Tribolium castaneum: one gene and its partners. The protein of the gene in region 3 purifies or fractionates together with the protein of the main gene of each other region. This does not show direct contact. Links are inferred from orthologs where the notes say so. Each region holds a gene or a part of one and is shown on either strand. Other genes may lie near its edges.

The links.
Region 1: the proteins of Polr2H (region 3) and Wdr92 purify together in Homo sapiens (affinity purification with mass spectrometry; 3 studies listed by BioGRID and IntAct, with this or other methods). This does not show direct contact. The link is inferred for Tribolium castaneum from reciprocal best matches to the Homo sapiens genes POLR2H and DNAAF10.
Region 2: the proteins of Polr2H (region 3) and Polr3I purify together in Homo sapiens (affinity purification with mass spectrometry; 3 studies listed by BioGRID and IntAct, with this or other methods). This does not show direct contact. The link is inferred for Tribolium castaneum from reciprocal best matches to the Homo sapiens genes POLR2H and CRCP.

The regions. Positions count from the first base shown.
Region 1 is NC_087396.1:21,501,473-21,512,335, forward strand, and holds Wdr92 (dynein axonemal assembly factor 10), read right to left. Parts: upstream 4,791-10,863; coding exon 4,507-4,790; intron 4,465-4,506; coding exon 4,334-4,464; intron 4,290-4,333; coding exon 3,839-4,289; intron 3,795-3,838; coding exon 3,587-3,794; 3' UTR 3,557-3,586; downstream 1-3,556. Other genes in the region: Sec23 (protein transport protein Sec23A), read left to right, coding at 1-22, 71-894, 942-1,084, 1,289-1,500, 1,551-1,751, 1,807-2,355, 2,415-2,432, 2,565-2,654; elm (calcineurin B homologous protein 1), read right to left, coding at 2,753-2,991, 3,039-3,305, 3,349-3,415; Mocs2A (molybdopterin synthase sulfur carrier subunit), read left to right, coding at 5,319-5,576; Mocs2B (molybdopterin synthase catalytic subunit), read left to right, coding at 5,586-5,830, 5,882-6,063, 6,114-6,371, 6,804-7,021, 7,068-7,178; JNK1/MAPK8-associated membrane protein, read right to left, coding at 7,216-7,502, 7,553-7,722, 7,772-7,984, 8,028-8,254; wdb (serine/threonine-protein phosphatase 2A 56 kDa regulatory subunit epsilon isoform), read left to right, coding at 9,467-9,605. UniProt on the Homo sapiens protein: Key assembly factor specifically required for the stability of axonemal dynein heavy chains in cytoplasm.
Region 2 is NC_087399.1:3,366,354-3,373,610, reverse strand, and holds Polr3I (DNA-directed RNA polymerase III subunit RPC9), read right to left. Parts: upstream 5,236-7,257; 5' UTR 5,135-5,235; coding exon 5,127-5,134; intron 5,075-5,126; coding exon 4,963-5,074; intron 4,906-4,962; coding exon 4,753-4,905; intron 4,708-4,752; coding exon 4,582-4,707; 3' UTR 4,486-4,581; downstream 1-4,485. Other genes in the region: Wbp2 (WW domain-binding protein 2), read right to left, coding at 1,166-1,325, 1,374-1,548, 1,597-1,652; cell cycle checkpoint protein RAD17, read right to left, coding at 1,852-1,942, 1,992-2,430, 2,479-2,786, 2,835-3,121, 3,167-3,406, 3,466-3,483; DENR (density-regulated protein homolog), read left to right, coding at 3,791-3,886, 3,933-4,194, 4,244-4,383, 4,440-4,484; ATP synthase mitochondrial F1 complex assembly factor 1, read left to right, coding at 5,236-6,072. UniProt on the Homo sapiens protein: DNA-dependent RNA polymerase catalyzes the transcription of DNA into RNA using the four ribonucleoside triphosphates as substrates.
Region 3 is NC_087396.1:10,329,071-10,340,498, forward strand, and holds the start of Polr2H (DNA-directed RNA polymerases I, II, and III subunit RPABC3), read right to left. Parts: upstream 6,487-11,428; 5' UTR 6,424-6,486; coding exon 6,351-6,423; intron 1-6,350. Other genes in the region: Epp (ecdysteroid-phosphate phosphatase), read left to right, coding at 6,654-6,766, 6,819-7,059, 7,106-7,301, 7,530-7,625, 11,327-11,428. UniProt on the Homo sapiens protein: DNA-dependent RNA polymerase catalyzes the transcription of DNA into RNA using the four ribonucleoside triphosphates as substrates.

The DNA of each region.
Region 1 (10,863 bases), about 11 Mb from region 3:
TTTCTGTTTCCAACGGAATCCGGTAAAAAGATAATTTAAATTAAATATTTTTTTACATAAAAAATTAAAGTTTCCGCCTCAATATGCGGCCATTTCCGAGCAACACCAACCGGCCGAACTCATGCCAATGTTCTCCACCATTGAGTACACAATAACACGCGCCCAATGCCTGCCCCCCATCTACCTCCTAGTCGTCGATACGTGCATGGACGAGGAGGAGCTGGGGGCCCTTAAAGACTCGCTTCAGATGTCTTTGAGCCTTCTCCCGCCGACGGCCCTCATAGGGCTCATCACATTCGGGAAAATGGTCCAAGTTCACGAACTGGGCACTGAGGGCTGTAGCAAATCGTACGTTTTTCGGGGGACCAAAGACCTGACAGCTAAACAAATCCAGGAGATGCTCGGGATTGGGAAAGTGGCCGTGGCGCAGCCCCAGCGAGGGGCCCCGCAAGCCCCCATCCCGCCCGCCAGTCGGTTCCTCCAACCCATCTCAAAGTGCGATATGAGTCTGACTGATTTGATCGGGGAGCTGCAAAGAGACCCCTGGCCTGTGGGGCAAGGCAAGCGGCCCTTGAGATCAACAGGGGCGGCCTTGTCCATAGCAATAGGGCTCCTTGAGTGCACGTATGCCAATACGGGGGCCCGGGTTATGATGTTCCTAGGGGGGCCCTGCTCGCAAGGGCCGGGTCAGGTGGTTAACGACGATTTGAAACAACCAATCAGGTCGCATCATGATATTCAGAAAGATAACGCCAAGTATATGAAGAAGGCGATCAAGCATTATGAGGGGTTGGCTATGAGGGCTGCCACTAATGGGCATTGTGTTGATATTTATTCGTGTGCTTTGGACCAAACGGGGCTGATGGAGATGAAGCAGTGTTGCAATTCGACGGGGTAATTTTTTTGGGGGGTGTTTTTTGTAATGATTTTTGGGGTTTTAGGGGGCATATGGTTATGGGGGACTCGTTCAATTCGTCGCTTTTTAAACAAACGTTTCAGCGGGTTTTTGCAAGAGATGCCAAGAATGAGCTGAAAATGGCCTTCAATGCCACACTGGAAGTCAAGTGTTCAAGGGAACTCAAAGGTAAAGTGCAGGAAATCGACAAAAAACAATCGCAAATTTTTAAATTTTTTTATTTTCATAATTACGCAAAACTATTAGATGTAAAATGTAAAATGATCGATTGGCGTCAATAGTTTTTTAATTATATTTTTTTATTTTGCCTATTTCTACTTTTGTTTGCAATTTTCTCGAATTTATTAGAAAGTTGATTTATTTATTTTCTAGTGCAAGGAGGTATTGGCTCTTGTGTGTCCCTCAATGTGAAAAGTCCCCTCGTTTCGGACACTGAAATCGGAATGGGTAACACAGTCCAATGGAAAATGTGCACTTTGACGCCGAGTGCAACAATTGCCCTATTTTTCGAAGTGGTCAATCAACATTCGGCCCCCATACCGCAAGGAGGCCGTGGATGCATTCAGTTCATAACACAATATCAAGTAAATGATTCAATTGAAGGAAAGGAAATTATTAACAATTTTTTTCTTAGCATTCGAGCGGCCAGAGGCGCATTCGCGTTACAACCATCGCCCGAAATTGGGCCGATGCCACGGCCAACATCCACCACATCAGCGCCGGCTTTGACCAGGAAGCGGCGGCTGTTTTAATGGCCCGCATGGCCGTTTATCGAGCTGAAACCGACGAAAGCCCCGATGTGTTGCGATGGGTCGACCGTATGTTAATTCGTCTGGTAATACAACAGTTAAAAATTAATTAATCAAAATTTCGAACTTTATTATTTCTAGTGCCAAAAATTCGGCGAATACAACAAAGACGACCCTAACAGTTTCCGTTTGAGTGAAAACTTCAGTCTCTATCCCCAATTCATGTACCATTTGCGCCGCTCCCAATTCCTCCAAGTTTTCAACAACTCCCCAGACGAGACCTCGTTCTACCGCCACATGCTGATGCGGGAGGACCTCACCCAAAGTCTCATTATGATCCAGCCGATTTTATACAGTTATAGTTTCAACGGCCCCCCTGAACCCGTCCTCCTCGACACTAGTTCCATTCAACCCGATCGAATCCTTCTCATGGACACATTTTTCCAAATTTTGATTTTCCACGGTGAGACAATCGCCCAATGGAGGAACCTCAAGTACCAGGACATGCCAGAGTACGAGAATTTCCGGCAATTGTTACAAGCACCGGTGGATGACGCCCAGGAAATCCTCCAGACGAGGTTCCCCATGCCTAGGTACATCGACACGGAACAAGGGGGCTCCCAAGCCAGGTTTTTACTATCGAAAGTCAACCCGAGCCAAACACATAACAATATGTACGCGTACGGAGGGGTGAGTACCACTTTTGTGTGTTTTGTTTGTGTTTTAATTCTGTGTTTGGTGGATTTTAGGCGGTACCTGCGAGTGCGGTATTTATTTTTTTTATTTTTTGTGGGGTTAAAGGTGTAATTTTTGTAGTAGTATTTGTTACTAATCGGGTGGTTTTATCGCTTTCACTCGCTTCGCTTGCTTCAGACGTGTAACAAAATTTTGTGTTACAGGACGGCGGGGCCCCGGTTTTGACCGACGACGTCTCGTTGCAAGTGTTTATGGATCATTTGAAGAAACTGGCGGTCTCTTCAACGGCTTAAACTACTTTATTCTTATTTATTAAGTACAATAGTAACAAGAAAATATCTCTGGTTAAGTGTTACAATTATAATAAATATATTACACATACATTACACGCCTAGTTCAGGAAGCGAATGCTCATTTTTTGGGCGACATCCGTCCTTTGTAACGCATTACAAAACTCCTCGAATGAAATCATTTGGTCTCTGTCTTCATCAGCCTCCACGATAGTGCGCTCTGCAATACTGGTCAACTGTTCCTCGCTGATGTTGGCCCCCACCATCATGTGCAAGATCGCCAAAAGCTCCTCCTTTGAGATCATATCGTCGTTATCAAGGTCGTACATTTTGAAAGCGACTGGAAAAACTCAATAAAGCGTCACCCCTTGATTTTGATTCGCTTACATCTCAGCTTCTCCTCCCTCGAGTTCAGTTTATTCTCTTTGTTCTTCTTGATGGGTCTAAAGTGGGCCAAAACGCGCATAAACTGCCTGAAATTCACCCTATCGTTCAAGCCTTCCTCCTGGAAAAACGAATTGACGATTCTCTCGCCCAAAGGGTTGATTGCGAGCTCGGGAATTCGGAGGAAATCGTCGCGGCTCAAAGTGCCACAATCCCCACGGTCCAGGGACGTGAAACGGGAGTAGAGACGCTCGATTTGGTTGGGGGTGACTACATTTGCGGTTACAAGGAAACGAAACATGGGCGTACTCACATCCTGTTTCCTCCTGGATTTGGGCGATTTCCTCCTCACGGAGCAGCAGAGACGAGCGGTTACCCATTTTTACGAACTTTCACCAAAAACTGAACTTTGAATTATTGAAATGTCACTTTGACACTTGTAATGACAGTTGTTGTCACAACTGGCCAATCAAACGGCCGGATTTGTGTCACGTGGTTGACTGATTGTCAAAGTCAAGTGATTGAGGTTAGGGTCATTTTATTCATTAAAATTAATACAAATTTAGTTTTGTCGTAATTAAGACTCTGATGGTTTGGTCGAAGGCTGAGCACACCGACAGCCCGGCCTTCTCGGGGCACCAGTCAAAGCTCGTGATGGGCTGGTCGCTCAAAGTGCTGTTTTGCAGCAGAAGCAACTCCCCTGCCACCCCATATTCCAGCCCATCAGCGTCCTTTTCCACCCTCCGGTCCGGATAATTGCTACAAAGACCGTTGGTTTGAGTCGTAACAATTGACACACTCACTATTTCCACAAACAGAGCGATCCGGTGCCCCCCGTAGTCATGAAAATCTCCCGGTTTTGGGGCAAATGTTGGGCGCACCAGATGGTCGAATTGTGCGCCTTTTCGACCACTTGGGCGTACCCTTTAGTGGGGTGATGGGTGCGCACATCGAAACAGAAAATTTTCGACTCCAGAGTTGTGGCAACCAATTTGTTCATGGGAATGTCTTTGCGGTCGAATTGAAGCGAAACGATTCCGTTTTTGAGGCATTTGGACCATTTTACCGACATGTTCCGGAGGTCGTAGATTTTCAAATCGCCGTTATCGTAACCCGCTGCTACGACTCGTTCTTCGTTATTGTACGAGTTTCCGAAAGCTACGCTCCAACAATCGCGGCCTTGGGAGCCCTCGCTTTGGCAGAACTTGGCCACGGGGGTGTCTTTTTGCCGAATGTCCCACACCATGACAGCCCCTAAAAATGTTCGAGCAATGACTTTCAATAAAAAATTACAGTACCGTCTTTAGATCCGGTGGCTATTTCGGGGGCCCCGCACCCACTGGCAACCCCCGCAACTCCATCAATGGCGTTAATGACCCCGCGGTGCTTCTCCGTCTTATAAATCGGGATTAAATTCTCCTCCAAATCCCTACGAGACTTAAAAATTTTGGCCAACTTTTGGACGACTTACCAGACTTGTAACCGCCCGCTGAAGTCGCCAGTCGCAAGGTGGCGGTCTCTTAAACTCGAGGCGTGAAACGTGCCGCATTTAAAGTGGTCTTTCTTGCCGAATTCGGCCACTTTTTCGATCCCATCACCACTGATTGAGTAGGTCTCGATAATTCCAGCCCCGTTTGATTTGCCCCCGATTGAGACGAATTTCGCGGAACAGGGGATCCACTTGACGTCGTGGACGGTGTAGTTCAGGGCTTGCTGCACGTGGCAGATTATTTGGGGCCTTTGGAGCGACTCCATAACGTTTGATTGATCAAACAATTGTTGTCATAGCAAAGCGCATTTTCGGGGGCAATAATTGCCCAAGTTTAAATAAAACAAGCTGTTCTCGTTACGTTTTTAATTATTTTGTTTTTTTTTTTCACCCCCGTTATATCCTGCAATGTTCTTTATTTTTGCAGGAAATTAAGCCCTTCGTTAGGGCCTTCGACTGTAAAAAATCATGTTCGGACAAACAGCCATTGGGACCTTTTTTTACGGCTGTAAAAAAACAATTAGCAATACATTTAAGGATTGCTCTAATTAGTCAAATTATTAACTAATTTGTCCAGCAAATTAGGTTTAGAGCATTCTTGTCAGGAAAAAAGGAAACAGCTTCCAAAGCATTCGAAAAAAAGATTTTTAATTGCATTTTATTCGTAAGAAAGTGAGGTTAAAAATTTGACAACTTGCGCTCTAAATATGTCGTTTCAAATATAAACAGAGTAGTGATAAAAGTAATTATTTTGCTTCAATTCGGTGATTATGTAAGCGCAACAACACTATGATATGTTAGTGACCGTCAAAGTGTTGTTTTTCGCTAAATCGAGAGAAATCGTGGGCCAAAAATCCGCCGAACTTGACCTGCCGTCCCCCATCTCCTACAAAAAGCTTTTAGAAACACTCGTCGGCACGTATTTTTTGGCCGAAATTGCCCAAAACATTATTCTCTCCCTCAATGAGGAGTTTTGCGACGTGGAAAGTGTCGAAATTGTGTTAAAACAGGGCGACGAAGTAGCAATAATCCCACCTCTGAGTGGCGGTTAGGGCCCCAAAATGAATTTTTTGAAATTCACCGAAGACAAGCTAAGTGTTGAGGCGTTGACTGATCTAGTCGCCTCGCCGAAATGTGGCGCAGTCTCGGTTTTTATGGGGACCACCAGAGACAGTTTCGGGGAAAAAACCGTCCTTAAATTGGAGTACGAGGCGTACGAAGCCATGGCTTTGAAGTGTCTCGAAAAAGTGTGCGGGGAGATCAGGGCCAAGTGGCCTCAAGTCGAAAATATCGCAATCTATCACAGGTTTGAAAAATTTAAATTGGGGCCAAATTTTGATTTTTTTTTGTTTAACAGACTGGGGGTTGTGGGGGTCAAGGAGGCTAGCATTGTAATTGCAATCGCGTCCCCCCACCGTACCGAGGCGCTGCAAGCCACCGACTGGTGCATCAACAAGGTTAAAGAGAGTGTGCCTATTTGGAAAAAGGAGATTTACGCTGAAACTGAAACTCCTCCACAGTGGAAGGAAAATAAAGAATGTGGGTGGTCAAGTAAATAAAGTCTAAAATTGATTGGCTCTCATTTATAGCCCCCAAACCGAAAAAATTCAAGCTCGAAATCGAGCCCAAAGTCGAAATTCCCAACGTTTCGCCCCATTTGATTCAAATCAAGGCCTCAAACGCGGACTTGAGCAAACGAATCGAGAATTTTATGGAGATGAAGCGAAACGAAATCAACATAAGCAATGTGAGAGAGTTTTGCACAAGTAATCGAAGTTCAGAGTTCACTTGCGCCCGAGTCGATGCGGTTTTGCAAAAACGCAAAGACTCCAATGGCCATTTGCAAGGTTCGTGGCCCTTAAAAAATCACAATTTTACGATTTTTATTCCAATTTTTACAAGTCTGCTAAAAGTATACAACTGCACAGGGTTATTCTATTTGGCACCAGACATTTTTCATTAATGTTTAGAGAACACATTTTTATCTGAAAATAAAAAAATTAACGAAAAAATTAAGACTTTACGGACAGGACACAAATGTGCCGAGCATGACCTCCTTGATGTATGCAGACAACTTCGTTAAAAATAATACATCAAGGAGGCCATGGCGCCGAGTAAAAATTGACTGAAAAAAAAGAGCAAAGAAACTGCACGGTCAACACGAGAAATATATTTTTAACAGACTAACCCTCTATAAATTTAGCAAAAAATGTCGGGGAAAAGTGCTACTTTTCGGACGATTTTCGAAAAACAAGTATTTCAGACTAATTTTTTTGCAGTAAGTCGGGTTTTGAACACTTACCACCGCGACCAAACAAATTCGGACTACCTGACCAAATACATCCCCCAAAACGGCATTGAGGAGCGCCTCCAAAACCTGGAAATCCAACTCAGTTTGACCACCCCAACCCCGAAAAATATCTACACCCGTTTGAAGAAACTAGAAGACCGGATATTGTTCCTTGAAACGATTTCGCCCGAATATATCAATTTTTGGGTAAGCTTTTTGAGAGATTTCCCTCCCTTTTTAGTGAAATTTTTAGGACAAAAGCCACTTAAACAATAGATTTGTGAAGAAGAAGGTTTTCTCAGTTGAGGAAATCGATTCGCTAATTAGCGATTTGGAGCGGAAGGTTCAGGAGGAGAAAAAATAAATCTGTTTTTAGTTTATTATTATTATTAAAAAATAAATTACGTAAATATTGTCGGGTCGGTAAACCTGGCCGTGAAAATGTAAAAAAAAGCCGGCAGTGGGACCAACAGTAGCAACAATGAGTGAAAAGTCGGGTCACTAAGCTGAGTTATTGAAATTAAACCATAGGCGTGTAAACACCAATGGCCCACTAAGATTACCACATTTCTCGGGTCTACAACTGTTGTTATGATGAGTGAGGGAATCGATTGGTTGATTTTGAGGGCAAAGTGATAAGCACACGAAATAACTGACAAAATAACGACCAAAATTGGGAACGCATAATCTGGAACAAAACCAATCAAAAGTGTGATTTTTGGCGCAATCATTACGTACAAAGAAGTCCCCCAATTAGGGCATGGACCACCACCAAAATCGGTATATAGTACATGGCGGCATAAATCGACATTTTGCTCTGCCTTGGAAGGTATTTCCGGCAAACCCATGGCCTTATCAAAAGCATAACAATCAAAGTCAGGGCATAAAAAATAAAAACTAGCGTATACCTAAAACAAAAACACTCAATAAAGTAGTATAATCAATTAGTAGCCCTACAAGGGATACACAGCCTCCTGGGTACAATGCACCCTCTTCTCATAATCCGGGGCCGGATTATGCAACAAAGTGTACCAATCGGCCAAGCTGCGCACTCTGCAGTTCCGCACCTGGAACTCGCCGAACGGGTGCGTGAAAAGCACCGACAAGAGCCCCGAAATGACCACTTCCACCAGCGCAGTCAAGTGTAAAATTAGGACGTCTTTTTTGAAGCTACAACGAACAGTGAAGGTGTGACGGGCAATAGGGGGCTCACCTTCGTCGCATCGACACCATGTCGATGAAAAACCAGTGCAGAATCTGGACCAGGAGCACCATAAACCCCAAATAAAGCCAGTCGTAGAACGTGGGGCTGTCGGTGCACGGCTCGCAAATAAAAGTAGTGTCGTTGCGCCGGAAGCCCCGGGGGCACGACCCGCACTCGCTGAGACTGCCATTGGGGAGGTACTGGCGGCCGCAGTACCAGCCAGGACACGGAAGCATCTTAAAGAGGCATCGCGGAATGTAAGGTTAAGGCGGACTTGACAGGAGATTACAGCCGGCCAGTGGGGCATTTATTTATCAATGCGATAACAAGCGCGCCAATGGCACATTTTTAGGGTTTGGTTAATTAAATTTGGCTGATTTAATTATTTGGTGCAGTTGTGTTAGTTTCGTGCCGATCTGTTGATGGGTGACCAATGTTTGGTTGGTCCACTGTGATTTTTTCATTCTCTTCTTGACTCATTAAAATTACAAGTTTGGATTTATTTGTTTAAAAATGTGGTAAATTGGTATTTTTTTGTGTCATAAGGTAGATTTGTTGTTAAAACTGTTAAATACGACACATGCCTTAGATTTGGTTGATCAGGTGTGATTTATTGAGGCGTTTGTTTCATTGAGCTGCAAAAATGTATCGTTTTTTACACGTGGATGAATTAATAAAGTTTGTTTGATTTAATTGTGTTTTGATTTTTTCAAAGTTTGAATTAAACGGCATTTTCGATAAGATGGACGTCTGAAGTGGCGTGTGATTGGTCGGGTGGCACGAATACTCGATCATGATTGGTCGCGTCGGACTACTGGCGAGTCAATTGACGATCTGACTAGCGTAAAATTAATGAAAATAAGGTCCCGGGGGTTGTTTTGGCTATAGTATAATTCATTGCGTGAATTTTGCGTGCCCTAGGCTGGGTTTGGTGCGAGTCGGAGTGAATTGGTTGTGAAAACCAGTTGTGTTTTGGTGCGCGCAGTACCCCCCATCTATTTTCAGCCCTAGGTACTTACGGCATCGGTTCGTGCAAAAATCGCGTAAAAACCCGTCAATAGCGCTTAAACCCCCGGTGTTTGGTGGCCCCTTTGTGCAAAACCTAGTCTTTTGGGCGGCGTTCGCGATGTTGGTGTGTTCGCACCGCGCATGGATCGGCTGAACGCGAGTATTTTGTGTCAAAGCAACCAGCTGATGGCGGGTGAAAATACTGGACTCGCTTGGCAGTTGTTCGATTTTCCGCGTCTTTCCGCCGATTCCTGCTAACTGTTTGTGGTTGTGGTGCGCGAGGCGGCCCCAGATCGGCGACTCGGCTTGCGTTCCCTCGACCGGGCTTTGGGCGTGCACCTTGTCATTGGAGGATGCGTTCGAAGGGGGCTGGTGCCGTTTGACGTAGACGTCCAGGTGAAATGTCGCGCGCGTAAACCGAGCCAGATCGAGTAGCCAGCATGTCGACCACGGCGTTCGTCGATCGGATCGATCCCTTCGCCAAGCGCTCGCTCAAGAAGAAGACGAAAAAGTCGCAAGGCAGCTCCAGGTACAGGAACTCGCAGGACGTGGAGCTGCAGCCGCTGCCGCTGCTCAAAGGTAGGCGGGGGCCCAAGGGCAAGGTCGCGACTGACCGCCGGCATCGATCCACGGGGGCTCCCTTGGCCGCCCCGAAAGGGGCTGCCAACTGACATTGTGGCATCAAAGGCCGGGCTTTGTGGCCGGACGTGGAAAACAAAAGTTTACCAATAAATGTCACTTGTCAAAATAAAGCGAGGTCAGGAACGTATATACGGAACTGTCATTTTATTTTTATTGATTTCTTGCTTCAATTGACAATTTTGCTTCAATTCATCGCAAATTGACGGTAATTTCATAGAAGTAGACGAAAATAAACTAATAATTCGGTTTTTCTGTGAAGAAATCAGGCAGTTTTGCCGTTTAAATGCCACTTGTAGTGTGCTATGGAAAACAAAAGTTGATACTTGACAATACGCAAAAAATGTCATTGCCAATATTGATTTTGACAAAATTATTCATAAATTTTTCGCGAAATTGTGCGACACGAGCGTGTTTTTGTGTTTTTTTTTTAGTTCTACTGGTAGTAAATATAATTCACTAATTAAAATATAACTGTTTTTTTATAAAACAAAAATAATTGTGTAATTGCATTATATTGAAATTAGATTGCATTTGGAATAATTCACTTCTTCTGCCCAGTTGTGCTAATTTTTACGGTAATTGTGGCGTATTGTAGTTCAAAAGAGCGAAAATTTGAACGTCCAAAACTGATTTTAAAAAGCGAATAAATGCAATAATTCTAAAAGCCTACATTTTACATCTACATTTTAAAGTGGCCTGCAGTCAAGGCCAAATGTGTCAAATCGGCATGTCGTGTATAATTTCAATTTTGGTTGATGGGCAACAAATAGTAAAATTAAACAAAAAAGTCAAAATTTTAAGATAGATTTGTTTAAATAGTTTTTTATGACATGATGAAAATTCATAGAATGCAAACATTTTGACAGAAAAATAATAAAACTTGAAATTAAACTTTTTGATATTCACCTAAAACTCTGAGCCTGGCCAAGTATAAAGCTTACTGGATTCCTGTTAATATTATAGTTAATTAATTTTTACTTGATTTATAGTTTTATTTGGAAAGTTCAAAGACTTAAAAGAGGTAAAACTCTATAGAAGACACATACTTAAGTATAATTGTTGTTAAAATAAATTACATATCTGTATATCTTATCTATGATATAATATCTCGTGTTTCTCCAGATTTTCTTTATTGAGTATTATTTTCAACTTCTATCCACCAAATAAATATAAAACTATTCATCAAAACTTATTG
Region 2 (7,257 bases), on a different chromosome or scaffold from region 3:
AGTGTTTCGAACGTGAAAAATCAGTGAAAATTCCGACACACGTCAAGAATTTGCTATTATTCGCCGGTTTCGACAACAAAACCTCGCTGTCGAAATTCGAGAGTGAAGACATCGACGAATTGGTGAAAATCGGGCGGGAAATCATCCCACGTGTCATCGATCGCGTCCTCCATGAAAAATACTTGGGGATTTTCGCGACTGAACCGCAACTGTTTACGATATTTTCCGGTCATCGGAAAATCCTCCTCGAAATGGCACAATTTTATCGCAGCTTTTCATGGAAAAAACGTCACACGGGGGACACGTGTGAAGCACCGACGAAACGTCAAAAAACAGACGAACAACGCGATTTCGAAAGCGAAAAACAAAACATTCTAGCGCTCATTTCTAATTGGATAATAAACTTTTGCTCACGCAATCTGACCAATGAGGAGTCGGCTTACGTGACACGAGAAATGTCTAAAATGCGGGCCGAAATTTCAAGCGAAGATTCAAATCAGTGTTACATCACGTGCTGTATTTGTCTCAAAGACGTGAAAATTTTCAGAAATCAGAACGGATTCTGGATCATGTCCAACATTCACAAACACTTCAAGACGCACATGAGTACGATTTCTAACAAGAAATTCAGCAAAAATATCAGCATTTCCAGCACGATTGCGAACCAGGAGGCGGATTCACCAGAAATTAGAGAAATTAAGGTGGAAAACGACTCCGAATAATAAAATAATAATAATTCCTCACCTATTGTACCTATTTTTGTTAATTAAATGAAACTGAATAAAAAAATAACAGTGTAACACTTGTGTTTTCGCCCTGATTCGAAACGAAACTAGCCTTAAAACATTTTACCGGTAGTTTCACCTGTTACACCACCTAAATCGGCTAATTGAAACAATTTAACTCAATTATAATTAAATTTGCAATTTTTATTAAATAGTTGAGTATCGTTTCTATTTCCAGTTTGGTGTTTTTTTTGTTTGATTGAAATTCCTACAACTGGCACCACAAAATGCCAAGGTCACTCGATTGAAACGAAAAAAAACAATAACGTTGCTTAGCAACGCAACGGTCACGTGATGTTTTTATCATCGCCTACTTATTTATTGGGAGATTAAATTAAAGAAAAAGTTTAAATTTCGTTGCAAAATGTTGCACAACTCACCCAAATATGCGGCTTTGAGCATCGCCTGGCCAAAGTCGATGGCGCCCCCACGCTTGAAAGTGAATTTGAACTTGGCCTCGCCAATCCAGTTGCCGTTGGGCTGCGCCCTGACTTTGCCCTTGATGTAGTTGGCGCCAAAGACGGGTTGCTCGATCTCGACCTACAGCCCCCTTGTTACAAATGATGAGTGAAAGGGGGGCGAACGTACCTCACTCAGTGTTACAAACGGGAAACTGAAACTTTGCATGGGGTCGCTGCCGCTCTTGTTGTTGAAGACAAGTCGGTGGGTGGTTAGGTAGAAGCGGCCGGTTTTGGTGCCTTTGAATGTGGGGTCCCCCTGACCCGACCATTCGATGCTGACGTCGTCCGCGAACAGTAAAATCCTAACGATGCGTTAAAGGGGGCGAAACGTCTGGATAGAAGTTGCTTACCTCTCACCGGCGTGTATTAAAACACCGCCGTTTATATGAGCCGTGTTTAGAGACATTTCGCACGGTTTTGGTACTCACACAATGAAATTATTTGTTTTTCTAGAAAAATTTTCGATAACTCCCCGATTTTGACAAGTGACATTTGACGTGACGTTTGAAATGTCATCTGCCAGGCGAGAGAGAGAAAAGATAGGGGTAAAAACAAGTTAGAGAGAGAAAAAGACAATACTAAGGCGCCAAATTCAAATTTATTAATCACGACAATACAAAGCCCGAATTAGTCTTATTGTTAATCACGTTGTAGTAATAAAGATCAGTCACTGAAACCTCGCGATTTGGCACAACCCTGCAAACAAACCCATCAAAAAACGCCAAAAAAAGACCACAAAACCCACTTTTGCACCTTGGTGGGGCCCTTGATTTGGTTCCATCGCGACACCTTATGCCCATTATGTACCATCAAGCCCAAGACGGAGACCCAAATCGCATAGTCGAGAATATCATGTCGATCGACCAACTTTTCTAGAAATGTTTGACCCAAACTCAAATTCTCACTGCCTTGACTGGCATCCACCAAATCCCCAAAATATTTCAAGTAATTTTCGAACAAAAACCCTGTGAAAAGCCCAGGCTGTGTTGTGAATTCGTTGACCAATCGGTCAAAATCGCACGCAAGTCGGCCATTTTCGCCCAACTTCGGGTTCAAAACGCGGCCAAGGGCGTGAAAAAGGCCCAAATTTTCGTCACGTGACATTATTTGAATCGAAGTGGACGAATCACGTTTGCGTTTGGTGCCCGATTTTTGGGTTTGGATCGTTGGCAGGTCTGAAGTTCCTGGAATTTTTTTGTGAGACAGTTGGGGGATGGGGGGTGATTTTTTACCTAAAAGGGCGGCAAAATAATACTGATTTAGGGCGCATTTCAAGTCGCCCATGGCTGTGGAAATGATGGCAGTGACTGTACTTTGAGACGGAATTTTAAATAAATCGGGATTCCCCTGCACGAGGTTTTGGGCCCTTTTCAGGGCACTCTTCATCAAAGTTGGGGCGCAACCGTTGAAACTAATCGTCGCAATTTTATACTTAACCCTTACGTCCTCACTAAATAATTTCTCGCTTAGATTAATTTTATTATCGAAAGTGTCCGTACACACGAAAATAACCGGGTAATTCCCCTTGTAGTAACACTCCCTGGAACCAACCAAATTAATTATTTGGACCAAAAACTAGCTCAATTACTCTAAAACTGGCCCAAACTCGTCACAATTCCTCAAAAACGTGTTTGGAAACTCCTCAACTAAAATCACTTTTTTGTTGCCTGTGGAAAATAAAGAATTCCATTTGGATTCGGTCAAAAACTCAACGAACCGGGTCACTTGATTCGCCCCCCGACAAACCTCAAAATCCTGGTCTAGGGGGTTCACCCATTCAGTTATATCAATTGATAATTTTTTGCACAAAACCTGAATGGTGATTGATTTGCCCGACCCTGGGGGCCCCGAAATCAACAAGAATTTCGCATTCGGCTGAAATTCAACGTCACGTGATGATTCAAAAGGGCAATGACTTACAGAATTGTTTTTATTATCACAGACGTTGTTTTGTAACCAGTGCTCGACTTCGGCGATTTTTTTCGAATGAACGGCCAAGTCGGGCACCGTTTTCGGCGCCAGGCGTTGGTGAAAGTTAAAGCTGCGTTTTTTAGGCACTGGGGACAGGTCCGAAGTGCCGTTTTTCGAAGGGATTGCAGGTTTGGGGGGATGGCCATTCTGGGCCCCGTTTTCCAAGTCAAGCGACAAACCTAACCATTTCTGCAAAAATTATCACTCTGTTACCTTGTCTGCCCGTTTTTAGTTGTGCAAATACACACATTTCCCGTTTTTTTCATGATTTTATTCGAGATTGTTTGAAACTTGTTGACATTCGGATTGACAGTCAGTGGTGCCAGAACGTGACCAATTTCGATTTTAAACAATTAAAACACGTTTAAAAAAATATTTGGGCGCAATTTTCGGTTACAAAATTGGTGGTTGGCCAATTTCTTGAGCCGTATTCAATTAATCGCCCAAAATAATAAATTTTTTGAAAAAATAGTGTCAGTGCTTAGTGAATCAGTGTCGCCAACGCAAGATCTACACGACCGTGTCTATTTTGGGGTTAGGTTTGTTTCTCAAAAATTTCATTTTTTGGCCATAATGTCGGTGGAAGAGAAGCTCCAGATGGGCCCCAGAACGGGGGTGACGTACCCCTTGCAAGTGATCTACTGTGGCAACTGTTCGATGCCGATTGAGGTTAGTTGTCGCCCCTTCAGACCTTCCGAACTAATTCTTGCCCCAGTATTGCGAGTATTACCCCGAGTATGACAAATGCAAACAATGGCTCGAGCGTAACTTGCCCGATGAGTTCGAAAAAGTGAAAATCGGGGACGAGGCGGGCGAGGGAGGTGGCGCTGAAGAGGAAAAAAAGCGTCAGAAACGTGGGGGTAAAGGCATGATCAAGACGAAGAAGAAGGAGGACGGGCCGAAGCAGGTGTGTGTGTCGAGGGCCCCCCGCGGCAAGAAGAAGTCGGTTACCGTGGTTACGGGGCTTAGTGGGTTTGGTAGGGGGGTTAGGGGGCCCTGAGTGTCTTGTTTGACGCGTTTTTGTAGATATTGATCTGAAAGTTGCGGCGAAATTTTTCGGGACCAGGTTTGCGTGTGGGTCTTCAGTCACAGGTGAGGACGAAATTGTGATCCAGGGGGACGTCAAGGACGATTTGTTTGATGTGATTCCCGAAAAATGGCCAGAGGTACCACACTGACCGAAAAAAGTCACTAGTTATAGGGGCACTTGTTTTTGTTGCAGATTGATGAGGACTTGATTGAGGATTTGGGTGACCAAAAGCGATAACTTATCATAAATTCGTGTATTTATACTTATTCTCAATACATTATGTCGTTTTTCACGCCAGTGTTTTATTATTTACTATCCTAATACAATCACAAAATTATTCCTGCTCCTCTGTTGTTTCGTTTTCTTGGCTTTTTTGGATGTGGGGGAAGTGCTGAAGCACGATCTGTAAAATTTGCTCAACTTGTTCTTCCGTGAGCCTTTCTTCACTTTCTTCAATCATCTAGAAAACACACTTAGAAATAGTCAAATTTTGCGTAAGACCAACCAATTGAATCTCTAAAGCCGTCGTAGGGGGCGAATTAATCAGCATTAATTTCTCATTTTTGTTCAAATTAAACGGCTCCAAGTCCTTCAAACACTCAGTAATTGACTGTGGGCTTTGTTGGGCACAAGGAGTATTTTCCAAGTAACGCAAAGTCTACGAAAAAATTGATGAATGAAAGTCGGCCCATTTACGGCCACTTAATCTAATCACCTCATACGTAATCGTCGCTAATTGCCCCTTGTGTTTTTTCCGGCTGTCCTTAATCCGTTGTAGGTGTTTCATAACCTCGAAATTACTCAAAGTCGCGCTGTTTGCATTAACACTGAAAACACGCCTTAATAATACGTTACTCAAACGTAGCAACTTAGTCTTACATTTCCATCGCATTTAATAATAAAATTAAGAGTGCAAATTGCTTTATTTTTATAATTTTTGAACCACAAATTGGTGACAAATCCAAAAAACCCTAAACTTGTCACAAGTATGGCCAGGCTTCCTAACCTAGCTTTTTTGCGATATTTTTCAAAATACTCCTGTAAATTCGTAAGAGGTCTGATGACGACCCAATCGCGGTGCGAAAAGGCCTTGGACGAGCTTTCCAAAAATGCCTACTACGAGAAATACGCGGACAAAATCGCCAAACTACAAAAAACCTCCCCCCAGGAGTTCCTCTCCCGAATGGACGAACTCAAGAAGGCCAAAGCCCCGAAAAAGAAGCCCGAAACGATCACTGAAGGCAAGTTCTCGCAACTATTAAACCCGAAAAAACCGCTCGGTTCTGTGGAGGCCTCGGAGGCCCCCTTAGACAAAGTCATGAAACTTGACTTAATTAAGGATAAAACCCCGGAGGAAATTAAGGAGATTTGGCACCAGTACCACATACAGAAGAACTACATTGCGGCGGTTGTCCCTGTGGAAGATTACAACGAACTGGAGGCAAGGGGGCGCCAATACCCTACGTTTCTCTTCGCCTTGCCTCGCAAAGAGGGTTACGAGTTTATAATGTCGCAGTTTGAGCGAAACTGCGTCCACTTTACCCCCCTTTTGTACTATCAGGTGCACAAGGAGAACGCCCCCGAGTGCCTCACAATGACGCACTACACCGAACTAAAGGACGAGAAAAAAATCGTCTTGATGCGAGGAGAGTACGACAAGAATGTTATTGATTTGAAGGAGGCCCAGTGTCTCGCAAATCAGTTGCAATTGTATTACGTAAGGCCCACAGAAGCACACTTGGAACTGATGGAGCGGTTCACCAAGCGCCCCGACGAGTTCAAACACATGGACTTGATCAAACAAATCGAGACTTTGTCTTTGTAAATATGTATTATTTAATTCCTAATTGTAAATAAAGTTTGAGTGACATAACCTTACTTTTTGAGTTTTATTTCACCCAATTATTTTCTTGTCCCCAATGTTGATACATAAAGTCGATCATAACATAGCAAATGGCACTATGAGTATGAAATTGAGCGTTTTTTCTTGAATTTTACTGCGAAAATATGACATAACCTAATTTTTTGTTGGGCGAAAATTGGACCAATTTCAAATATTATGATAACTCAAAGGTCCTGTATAAAATGCGATTGTGCGAAATTGCCCAAATGATAGAAATTTTGCCGATTTTTATATTTTATTACCGCTTTTCACTATTTACGTACCAACCTACCAAATCCAAAATTTATCATAACTTGATTTTTTTAAATTTTTATCACTTATTTCACTATTTTCCAACACAAAAGTGCGTTATATTAACTTGAGTTACGTTAAAAAATCGAAAATAACAGTAAGGTGGTACAGTTCACGAACTACGGGTCTGTATTTTCTGACAGGCGTACCAACGCACCCAAATTCAAATCCAAATAAAACGCCATTTTACTTAAAATAATTTATTGAAATTAGGCACTTGATTGAGCTTAGAACCTCTCTTTCGGCTTCCTGAACACTTTCCCGTGCTGCGTATCCTCCAAGCAGGGGATTTGCACTAAATTAAAATAAATGGTCCCCATAATGTGCGCCGTGGGCGAGGGATTTTCCTTGAGACACGAATACAGCTGATCGTCGCACAAACAATGCGATTTCGTGTATAACGAATCATTCGTTATGTTATATCTTTGTGAAAAAGCCCTAACTTTAACGGGACACAAATCGTGCGCTCTGCAGCACTTATCAACGGTGGGCTCGGCCCCCAGGTCGTAGTAGTCCTTGGCGATGTCGCCCGTGCCGCACCACTTCGTCCCTGAAATTGACTGTGTTGGGAAAATTGGGTTGGTACGACTGCCGGGGATTACCAGGGATGATGCCGCTGAGGAGGACAAACGGGTTGTTGGCGAGGATTCCCCGGCCGGCGATTGGGTGCGCGGTGATGTTTTTGGCCAGTTCGTCGTGTACCGATTTGCCGTCTTCGACTTGTTGGCATTGGCGCATTAGTGTTGTCATTTCTTTGAAGGAAATTGCAACGGGGCGGGAGACGTGCTGGAAGTCGCCGAGGGCTTTGATGGCGTC
Region 3 (11,428 bases):
TATTCCTAAGAGTCTACTTCATGGCCAAAAGTATTTTATTTTCCCTTTAACACTTATTGTTGATGGAAAATGATTTTCAAAGAGGAATTAGATTAGATTTTTTTCAGTTTTCAAAAATATTTTCTAAATTAATTTTAAAAAACTTTCTCCCCTACAGCCCGAGTAGAAGAATTTATCCTGTAAATCAGTTTCAGAAATGTAACGTAAAACAGCCGTAAATCAGAGCAAAAAATGGCTAAAATTTAACTCTTTTTAGCCCCCTTAATCATAGCCTTGAACATATTTTTTAGACAACCCATTCGCAATACATTCCTTTAGATATTATACTTGGTAAAAATTAAGTTTCAGGAGGTAAGCAGATCGGTCCAGAATGACTCTAATTCGAATCTCGTATAATGCTTTTTTTTGAAAAATTTTACATTATTATTCTCCACAATCATCTTCACCGTAAAGAAGAATAAACACTGAAACTTTTAGTCTGCATTTGGAAAAACCGCAGTTCAAAGAGTGATCTTTAAACCATGTATCTTTATAGGGAAGCAATTCGTGCCTTAAGACTAGACATATGAAACTTGTTTTTTAATATACTATTAAGAAATTAGAAAATAAAGGAGAATCAATTTTTAAATATATTTATTAGATTTGTTGAAAAGACTGCTGTACTGGAAAGTTGTTAAAAAATTGTTTGCCTTAAAATGTCCTAAAATGAATGTAAAGTGAGCCCAAACAACTTTTACAATGTTTGTGGTAAAATTATCCTACGAAGCTTAAAAGCGATAAACATGGTGAACGTTTCCATCAAGACTTACACTAACATGGATAGTACAAAGAAAAAGCGGTCTGTGACACTTTCGATTTTGCAAAAATTATCAAATACTGATAATTTCTAATAAATAGGTAGTATTTAAAAAACTTGACGTTCCAATTTTTTTCGACTTCAGTATCAAACTTAGGGCGAATTATTCTACGATGCATCTAGGTGTGTCTAGTTAAAAATGTTGATGTTGTAAATTAGTGTCATCCTCAGAATGTAACCTAGTGGGTGGACTGGTGTAGCTATCAAGAATTTGCTTTGAGTAGATAAATGTGCAGCAATCCTGATTCTTAAAATAAGTCCTTGATGATATTCAGCAATCAGAGATGTTTATTTTTGTCCGTAATTCCTAATAAAGAATTGCAGTAATAATAGTGCAAATAAATGACTTCTTTCATAACGACCTCTTTCATTTCATTGATAGCAAAGCAAGTTGATTCTGTTATTGACATGGCGATCCTCATAATACAATGTTCATTAGTGGGGTCTGGGAGTGAAGGCGGTGCATGGCTGCTTCTCATTTCTGAGTACAGCAGCAGCAGCAGGAACGGGGAGATGCAGGTCGCGGTTTTCAAAGCAGGAGAGAACGAACGAAGGACATGCGCGTCGTCGTAAAACATACGATCGATCCAGCTGTATCTGTGGTGACGGTCAAGGTTACCGGGTCTAGGTCACCGTTCACCCCTACACCCGATTTTCACCATCTCACGACAAAACAGGAAAACGTCCGGTTTCAACATGTTCTCAGTTACCTCCATGTTGCCTTTGTGATACAGATAAGCGGCCTCCTCATTCATCTCATGCTATATTTACCGACACAACGGACACAGAAAGAAACTGAGAACCTAATAAGGAATCTTTTCGAGATGACAAATAGAGTTCAAGATAAAGAAATCGCACATGTCCATTTCAGTACATTTCATGAAGCTAAATGGGATTTTACATTTTTTTGTCAAAGGAAGAACGACATCAATTTCGTAATTTTTACCAAGAATACCTGAATTTACAACGAAAATAATGTTATCGCGTTACCCAAAGTCCCACGTTTCAAAATGTTGATCAAATAATTTTTTAATTTTTATTCCGCCTTTATTTCAAAAGTTACAGGTTGGCGCAATGATACGAATTGTTCCTTATCACGAGAGCTATCAATTGATCCAAATTTGAATTTGAGTGGTCATTAAATTTCCATAGGACGGAAACCTTCTCCTTAGAAAAGTGTCACTTAAATCCAAAAAAAGTATTGTAAAAATTATCACTTCAAAATTGCATTAATCCCGGCCCCCATCAGACAATTAAAGAATGATGACAGGTCCGTGAAAACCTGAACTTGGTTACATATTGAACAATCAATATAAATACATTTAACATTTAACCACAAACGTAAATGAGCACCAAACTAATTCAAACAAATTTAAAAATGTGCCCACATTTTTATCTGAAGTTCCTTAATAGGTTTATAACCAACCAATTTAGAAAAATCGTTAAAATAAATGACGACTTTTTATTCACGCGTTTCAAAGCCACGTTTGTACGTGTTTTTAGTTAAAATGTGTTACAACGGATCAGCAACTCATAATTATATTATTTTCCGTTATAAAAAATAGAATGCATACATAAATATGTTGTTTGTGTATTTAGCTGAGCCTAACAGATGTAGAACCTATTTTATGTTTACCAACAGGTAGTCTTAACAAAAAATACAATTCTCTAATTTAACATCTTTACGGGAATTAATTGTTCAGCATTTCCGTGAATATTGTCATGTTTTATTCAAATAACGTTTTACAAGAATAACATGTTTTCCATACAAGTTTCCATACCATGAACCAGTTCACCATTGTGTGTCAGGTCAATTTTTAAAATTTCATTACTTATTTCCCATAATTTTAAAAGAATAAAAGAACATTGCTACACTAGATTTTGCGTTTCCTCTATTACACTTTTCTTACTATCTCTTGTTCTAAATCTTTCCGTCATTTCTAAACATCACTATCTAAAACTTAATAAATATCACACCTTTCCATTCTGCGAACGTACAAGTATTTTATATCATTGTAAATGATAAGCATTAATTACAACTAAGGACAAAAAATGCTATAACCTATAGCTTATTTATAACTAGAATTTATTAAACTGTGTAACACAAAAGTTTATTTTACCAGTACTGCAAATTACATACAAGGCACTTTTAATTCCTTAAGGTCCGGTTTATAGAAAGCTTTGTGAAAATTTAATTCGTTGTTGAAAGTTAACAACGCGAATGAACCAATCACATTTGTTCAATTTGGTCATGTGATCAGTTAATCACGCATTTAATTGCGAATTAAATTAATGACTTCTATAAACCGGTTCTTCAAATATAGCAAATTATTTAGTGTTCAGTACTATAACGAAATAAATCCACTTAGACCAGTTTTGAGTTTAGTTGTTTTGTTGTTTTTTGACAAAATTTTGATAAAACAAAAATTTTAAATCAATTTTTCACTTTCAAAATTGAGACATTACCAACTGTCCCAAAAATCCCTAATAACAATTTTTGTATAAAAACGACAAAAAAAGGCTAAAAAAACTAAATTCGTGCTTTACGACTGGTCTTATGTATGAAACTTGTTCTTTCATATACCATTATTTTTTTATACGTCGTCCACCAGGAAGAGGTCAATAAATTAATGAAATTTTTACAGTAGTCTCTATGAGTGATATAAACATATACATTTTTTTGAGTTGTTGTTTTTAAATGGAAATACCTTTAACCCCAAGAGCTAGAACGAACCACTATTTTAATGTTTTTGTTTAATAAAAACCACTCCTTTAAAAATACTGTCTTTAAATTTATAGAAAACACACAAAATGAAAGGTCAGATGTAATTTATAGTTTTTTATATTACTTTACATTTAATAGTAATTTGTAGACTTATAGAGAGAAAACGATTGACTGACTTATCTCATTATTCTGCTGAACAAATGTTCACAAATTTTCGGTGTTATAACAAAATTGTTTAATAACATCTAAATAAACCACTCTATTGCAAAAACAATTATTGCATTTGAAAGAGAGGGACTTTATAGCATACGTTTCTATATTTTTCTCAAAATGACAAAAATTGGACATATTTCGTTATAACATTGAACAGTGAAGACCCCATTTTTCACCTGTTAGAACCATCCAGTAAGCAGGCATGTATGACTAGATTTTTTAAACATAATTTAGGACCACTGGCGTTGTGCCACCAAATTTTCTGTTATTAATAACTAATTTGTGTTCTTTTCGTTACATTTAATCAAGTTACAAGTTGTTTTGTGGCTAATTATTAATCTTTTTCATGGATAACATCACAACATCTTATTAAATTTGAGTAAAATCAAAAATTGTCAACCCCCACTTTTTTTTCGCAGACCGACACTAAAAATAAATTGTGACCAAAAATTTATTCAAAAAGACCTATGCTTTCAATAAACACTAATAATAGTAATAATACAGAATAAAAACAAAAATTTTCACTTTTTGTTACAGTGTTATTACCTGTAATATTTTTAACTAATTTTTACTGGAACAACTGATTTTCTTTTTCTTTTTAACAATTTAATTTCAATATGATAGAAACAAAAATAAATCGCATTTTTATCATTTTGAAATGTGTAGGAGTACTTAATAAAATGTATTAACTTGGAAAATTCGAAGTGTAATATTTCTAAACGTCGGTTTAATTTTTTACTTTGTATTTCTTCTCTTTATTCATTTCAGTTCCTAATAACACTAGTTTACAACGTTTTTTGCCAATAGATGAAACCAATGCGTATCGGTAAGTCTAATACATTCACTTAATGATATTTTAAAGCAAATAAAATGTTTAACAATTAGTTCATCACAGAAACAACGGATGCTAAATTAGACACCAGAAACCAATTTTCAAAACTTTTAGTGAACATTAAAAAAAAACTAGATGTGATAGAAAAATGTAACATACAGGATGTTTCAAAATTGACAAATTCCGAGGTCAGAGCGTTGTAAAGAATCACTTCACTAGACTAAATGTAAAAACAAAATAAAGATTCGGAACTTCCCCACAAGGATACAGTGGTTTGAAGGTGCACGTCAGCTCACTTTGAATTGCGTTTTCTTCAAATGAAGGCTAAAAATTTTTCATTATTTTCATTTTTATTACTTATGATGTAGATGATTGTGGAAGATAATAATGTAAAACAATATTTCAAAAAATCAGCTTCATTTTAGAGTAAAAAATTTAAATTTTTGTAATTTTTCTTAAAAACAAAACGGCAAATTAAAAAAATTAAGATTTTAAAAACTCCAAAATAATATAAAAAAATAAATATAAATATAAAATAATAAAGCTAGTTTTTTGAGAAATCGTTCACAGTTATTATTCTTCACAATCATCGTCACCACAAATAAGAATAAACACTGAAACATATAGGCTGAATTAAAAAAAACGCAGTTCAAAGAGTAATCTTCAAACCAATGTATCTTTGTGAGGCAGCCCCGAATATTTTTTTGTTGGTAACATTTGAAGCCTTCTTTTTAATATCTGAATCCTAGATTTTAAACACTATTTTAAAACGCTTTTCCCATAGCAACGTGTTTTCATTTAAGTTCAAATATTCCAAAAAAAAAAATTTAATAACACTCATGCGAAAACGCTTTTAAAGTTCTCGAACTTTAAGTTTTTGTTTTTGCTCCCGTATTATTAATAACTCTTTTCGATGTTTGGACTACTAAAGCAATTCTCTACAGTGCTCAGAACTCGGAATTCGCCAATTTTGATACACCCTAAATGTTTTTTTAATACTGTGTTGCCAAATAGCCTGTATATTTTTGTTATCAGTGAGTAAGTAGAAAACAAAATTACCTAGTAGAAATGATTTCTTAGTAAAAGAAAAAAAATTGTAAACTAGTGTAATTAATATATCCATTTATTATCCCAGCTAGAATGCTCTAAACCCCTACGTGTTTCTTAATATGTATTTTATTGCTTTTTGTATTACAATTAATTCATGTAATTCATCAGTCTTCACAAATGATTCAAACAGCGAACAGTTTTAACAAAAATGGGGGCCGGCCCATGTCACCCATACACACCACCTACAAACCACACAAGTATTAAACAAAAATTAATACGTTAAAAAATTATTAGTATAAAAGTAAAATTTTGTAAGACTAATTTTGCATAATTCTATTAATATAAGTCCTTCAAGTAATTAATTCTAACCAAAAAAAATCTATTCTATCTGCCTGTTTTTATTGGTTTTATTCTTAATGCATTAAAAAAGACCAATCGATGCCACAACTAGGACACAGGTGGGGGGGTATAACCAATATTTAGAGTAGGACGGTATTATCGTATTAATAACCACATACACACGCTTTCCAAATTCAGAGGTAAATGAGACAAGATGTAAACTTTAAATACATTCAAAATTTAACACAATTTCGAGCAATTTTACGAAACGTTAAAACATAACCTCAAAAACGCCGGTCACACATCCAAACAAACAGACGATAAAAGCCACTTACCTCGATCAAATTTCTTTCCCTCAGGATCAATATCTTTCACGTTGAATATATCTTCAAACAGGACACCTGCCATCGTCGAATAACGTGTAAATAATAAAAAATTAACACACTTTAATACTTTCTTATGAAAATGGGCAAATTTTGACAGACATCAACACTTGACAGTGTTCCAACCAGTGCCGCCATCTGAAAGGCCAATTCCCCAAACAAAACCAAAACAAAAACGTCACTGTTTAAATGTCAAAGGTCCACTAGAAGTGTCAACACCAAACTTTAACCTAGTTGAAATTAATAATTTATTAAATGAAAATGGCAACACTACCCCCTAGGAGGAACCCCACACCTACAAAAATATCCAAACAGCACCTGACCCCGCTACAAATCCTCCTCCAGATGGGGTTCCCCAAACACAGAGCGTGAGTAAACAAAATGATAATAAACTTTCGGGTAACTTGAAATTACACACAGCGAAAAGGCCTTAGCTGCCACTGGTAACAGGGGCGTGCAGTTGGCCTCCGACTGGTTACTGGCCCACGTAAATGACCCATTGCTGGACGATAACTCTCCAAGGGAGTACATTTTATATGCGTGTCCCACGGGACCTTTCCTGGAACAGTTACAGACCTTCTGGGAGAAGTCGCACAGGGAATGCGCCTGGAACGGGGCCCACAATTTCACGCCGCACATTACGCTAGTTTCGTTTTTTAAGGTATTTCATTTGATAAATTTTGAATTCGTTTAATGATGTGTAACAGGCGCCTGATGAAGACGCCCTACATCTGGCGCAAAGCCTAAAGTCCGTAATGGAAAGGCAGGGCGCTATGTTGAACGAGCCCCTAAAACTAGAAACGTATACTTCTCCAAATTTTATGGGGTTTTTTGTGGCGGAGGAGCACGCTGATTATTTAAAAAGGATTGCCATGCAATATGTTAAAGAAGTTTCAAATGCTAGTAAGTCGATTTTTCTATAAACCAGTAGATGGGCATGTTTGTAACTTTGTTGGTTTTTGATTACCAGAAAAATATTTAGATAATGATTGGTCCTTATTATTACTAATCATGTTTTCTCAACATTGTAAATAAATTGATAACGACACATGCTTGCATGGTAATCAAATTACTTGTAGTTGTTCTTAATACTAGCATGACAATCTGGCTAAAGGTGGTGGTTATTTGCAGTTATTAGTGACACATACGAACATTTCGATGCTCTAACAGCCTGTTTTCCGTGGTGTACCACAACAACTGCTCGTTGCATTCCTCGGGGAAGTAGATGTAAGCAAATTGTAGTTTAGTGTAGTTTCCTCTAGATAATTATCATTTTTTTGTATTTATTTTCTATTAAAAGTTTGAATTTTTACTTTGCTTTTCCTTTTGTTACTAACATTTATTTATCCTTTTACTGAAGTTGCTGGTTTACTAACAGTTTTATATTCTCTTACCTATCATTATCCTAACATGTGAATTAGTTACCTTTTGTCTTTTGTTTTTGAAGTGTCTGAAAGAGAAATACAGCCACCATTAGTGGTTTGAGTCTTTATACAAAGTAAAAGTCATCTGCAGGAAAGTTCACCTTTTATTGCACATTTGATAAAATGTGACAGTAGTTAATGACCGATATTGAAAAATATGTTGCGGAATGTGTTTGTTTATTCCTTGGTTTTATAAGAGCTTTATAAGTCCGTCAGGCGGTGGCAAAATATTTACCAGTCCTTACCGATAAAACCTTTGGAAAAAGTGTCTTATATTTTTTCCATTTATGGAATAAACCTGTGATTAGACCAAAAGTAAGTACGATTATTGTGCATTGTCATTACGAGTATGTTTTCAATTCAAGAATTTTAGACAAACTTGCTAGTGATTAATCTTGATTTAAAGCAAATACTTTTATATTTTCCTTATGCGGACAAGGTGAATCTGCTTAAAATTTCATCTTAGTAGTAATTGTGAAATTGGCCTCATTATGTTCTTAGCAATTTTTCTCCAAAAAACTACTTTGTTAGCAAAAATCTACAAAAACATTTTTAAAAAACATATACATTATACTTTGACGATGGATCTGATCTCTTTTAATATGTACTGTATTATGTACGAAAAGCAACAGAAATTTAAGGAAAATACATCAATAAAGTTTGATAATTAATTATTATTATTTTCTATTTTGATACTAATTTTCAATTTAATCTGTGTTTTCATAAATTATACTTTCAGTTACGGTAAAAAAATAGTAAAGGAAAAAAGAAATGAGTTAACGAATTCATTGAAATAATAAGGCGGGTTTTCGTTAAAAATAAGCTGAAACAAAACGATTAGAACTTGATTTTTGGATTTCTTGCATCATCTTAACAAGATTCTCGATAAGAAATAAGAAAGATACGTAGTACGAAACAATAAACACATAGAAGACACTTTTTGCGTTTTTTCTTTAATTCATCATCATAAAACAAAAGATAAATTTTAATGTTACATGCAAGGTGAATCTTATAAAAATATTTTTGCTGTGTATCATAAGCTAATAATTACACGAAAAATCAACGCGTACTCTTAAATACTTAAATACTCTTAAATCCAGGATTATTTTTTATCAACGAGCCACGTAGAAGATCTCAGAAAAAAAGAAAAAAATTTAGATATAAATAGGTCAATTTTTATTTACAGGAGGCACCTTTTACTTCTTTTAGTGTAGTTTTGAAAGTTGTTGCACCGACCCCCTTTATAATAATAAAAACAATTTCTATAAATTTTAAATGGCATTACCTCCTTTGCGATTAGTGGCGGATCCTGAAATAATTTTTTTTTGGGGTGGGGGGGCTTCCAAAAATTTTTAGACATGTGAAGGTTAAGCTATTGAATGAAACTTTTACTATCGGTATGTTAAAATATTTAAATAAATTTGCAAAAAATGAAGCCCCAAAAATTTTTATCCAAAAAATTTTATAATGCAGTCTTATATGTTTTTAAATAAAACACCCTATATTTTGTGCATTTTTGGATATAGGTGTTGTTATCATCATAATACAACAGGGAATGTTTAATTACAGTTGTTTAAGTAATAAAAATTTCTGCACGTAAAAAGAACTAAACATAAAATAAAATTTTCTTGTTTTACATTTCATTTTATTTTATTGTATTTTATTAAGTAATAGCACAGGTAATAGTTTATTTATTAATTTATTAATAAATGTTAATGTTATTTTTTAAAAACTTTTGTTCATTAGTCTTTTATTGTATTTACAAAAAAAACAAATAAAAGTTGGAGGGGGGGGCTGGACCCCTAGACTTTTTTTTTTTTTTTTAAATCAGTTTTCCAGTTATTTAAAAAACAATGTTTTTTCAAATGGCACCGTACTACGGACATTTTTTTGGTAAAAGATTATGCTTTAAAAATTACTTCTAATTCAATAATTTTGTTTTTGAACCCGTGTTTTTTTTTTAAGTTATTAAAGTTGCGTTCGGCCAAGTTTGAAAAACCTTCGCATCGAGATCGGAATGCAACTTAAATAAAATTTATTTTCCGAGAGCCACTGGTTTAATTACAATATTATTGAATTTGAAGTAATTTCTTGACCATAGTTTTTTACCAAAAAAATCGCCGTGGTGGGGTGCCATTTTAAAAATGATCACATTTTTATGGTACTTGCTGATGTACTAATTGTTTTCTTCGTAAGGCACATAATTTAGGCACAAAACGCTTAGTTCCATACTTTTACCCAACGCTGTATAAGCAAGCTGTTTCAAAACTATAAAAAAGTCAACGTCGCATTTTACCAAATTATTTTTTATAAGATTGATAAATTGTAAAATTGTTATTATTTATTAATGATTAGATCTCTGATTGAAAGAGCAAATTACGTTATCTATTATTTTTTTGAAGTGCATGAATAATTTATTATAGATAATTTTGAGAGAAAATGCGACGTTGGCGTTTTTATAGTGCATACTGAGGTCTTTAAAACACGCGCGACAGAGGAAGTGTTTTAAATCCACGAATACTTTAGGTTATTTTTTTATTGGTACACTTTCGTTGTCATGGAATTGATTGTCATTATAATAAAAAATCATTAAAAAGTTATACTTCTCGTTTCTGGGGTTATTAATGTTGACATGGACACTTAAAAAAACGCGCGTTTTTTAAAATTGGATTTGTTCACACTGCTGGGTGTTTTAAATAAGAAAATAGATTATCAATTAAAAAAAATAAACGTTCAGTATTCAGCCGTGCGTAACAGCAATGAGCGAAGAAACTGAAATAGGGCATTAATCATAATCATAGATTTGGGCCTGTTTGCCATATTTATTACATAATTTAACGAAATCTTTTAACTTCTAATTAAAAAATAATCTAAATCGAATGTCGCAACCTGAATTAATTCATAGCGCGGGCTGATAATTTTTCAGATTTTTGTAACAACTTTTCAGTGCAAGATTTAAACAATGGGTATTTTACATTATGTAATTACATTTTCCTCGCATGTTACCCGAAATCGATCGAAACAAGGAAAAACGACTCGTTTACGTACCGAAAATAACAAATTGGAAGCTCAATCTTTCGCTTAATTTGTAAGACCGTCTAAAAGACAGATTTTGATTAAAAAAAACATCAAGGCCGTATGACTACGGTTTTTCGAACAGGATTTCGCAATTATTGTGTTTATGTCTTAAAAGATAATCAAATAATTACGTACCAGCTACCCAGATAATATTTTTTTTAATAAATAAATTAACTCCTGGGATTATTTCTTTGCGACTATAACTACAAAAACAATTAGATACAAGCATTAAACAAATAAAGAGAGCAAAGTCCTGTGTTTCTCAAGATAGTGCCCACACTTTTCGTATCTTTTGTTTATATGTGTTTATATTTTCTTCTTTACATAGCTAATAATCTGTGGATGGATGCTACTTGACAAACATTAAAGTGTCTATAAATGTGACTATTTCATTATTGTGTTTTAAACCCACGTGAACTCTTGCAGCTATAAGTCTTGAACCCCACGTAAAATCGCTCCATTTGACGTTGGCGTACCAATTCCCCAGCACCCACTACACCCACCTCAAATCCCTCGTGGACGAGCTCG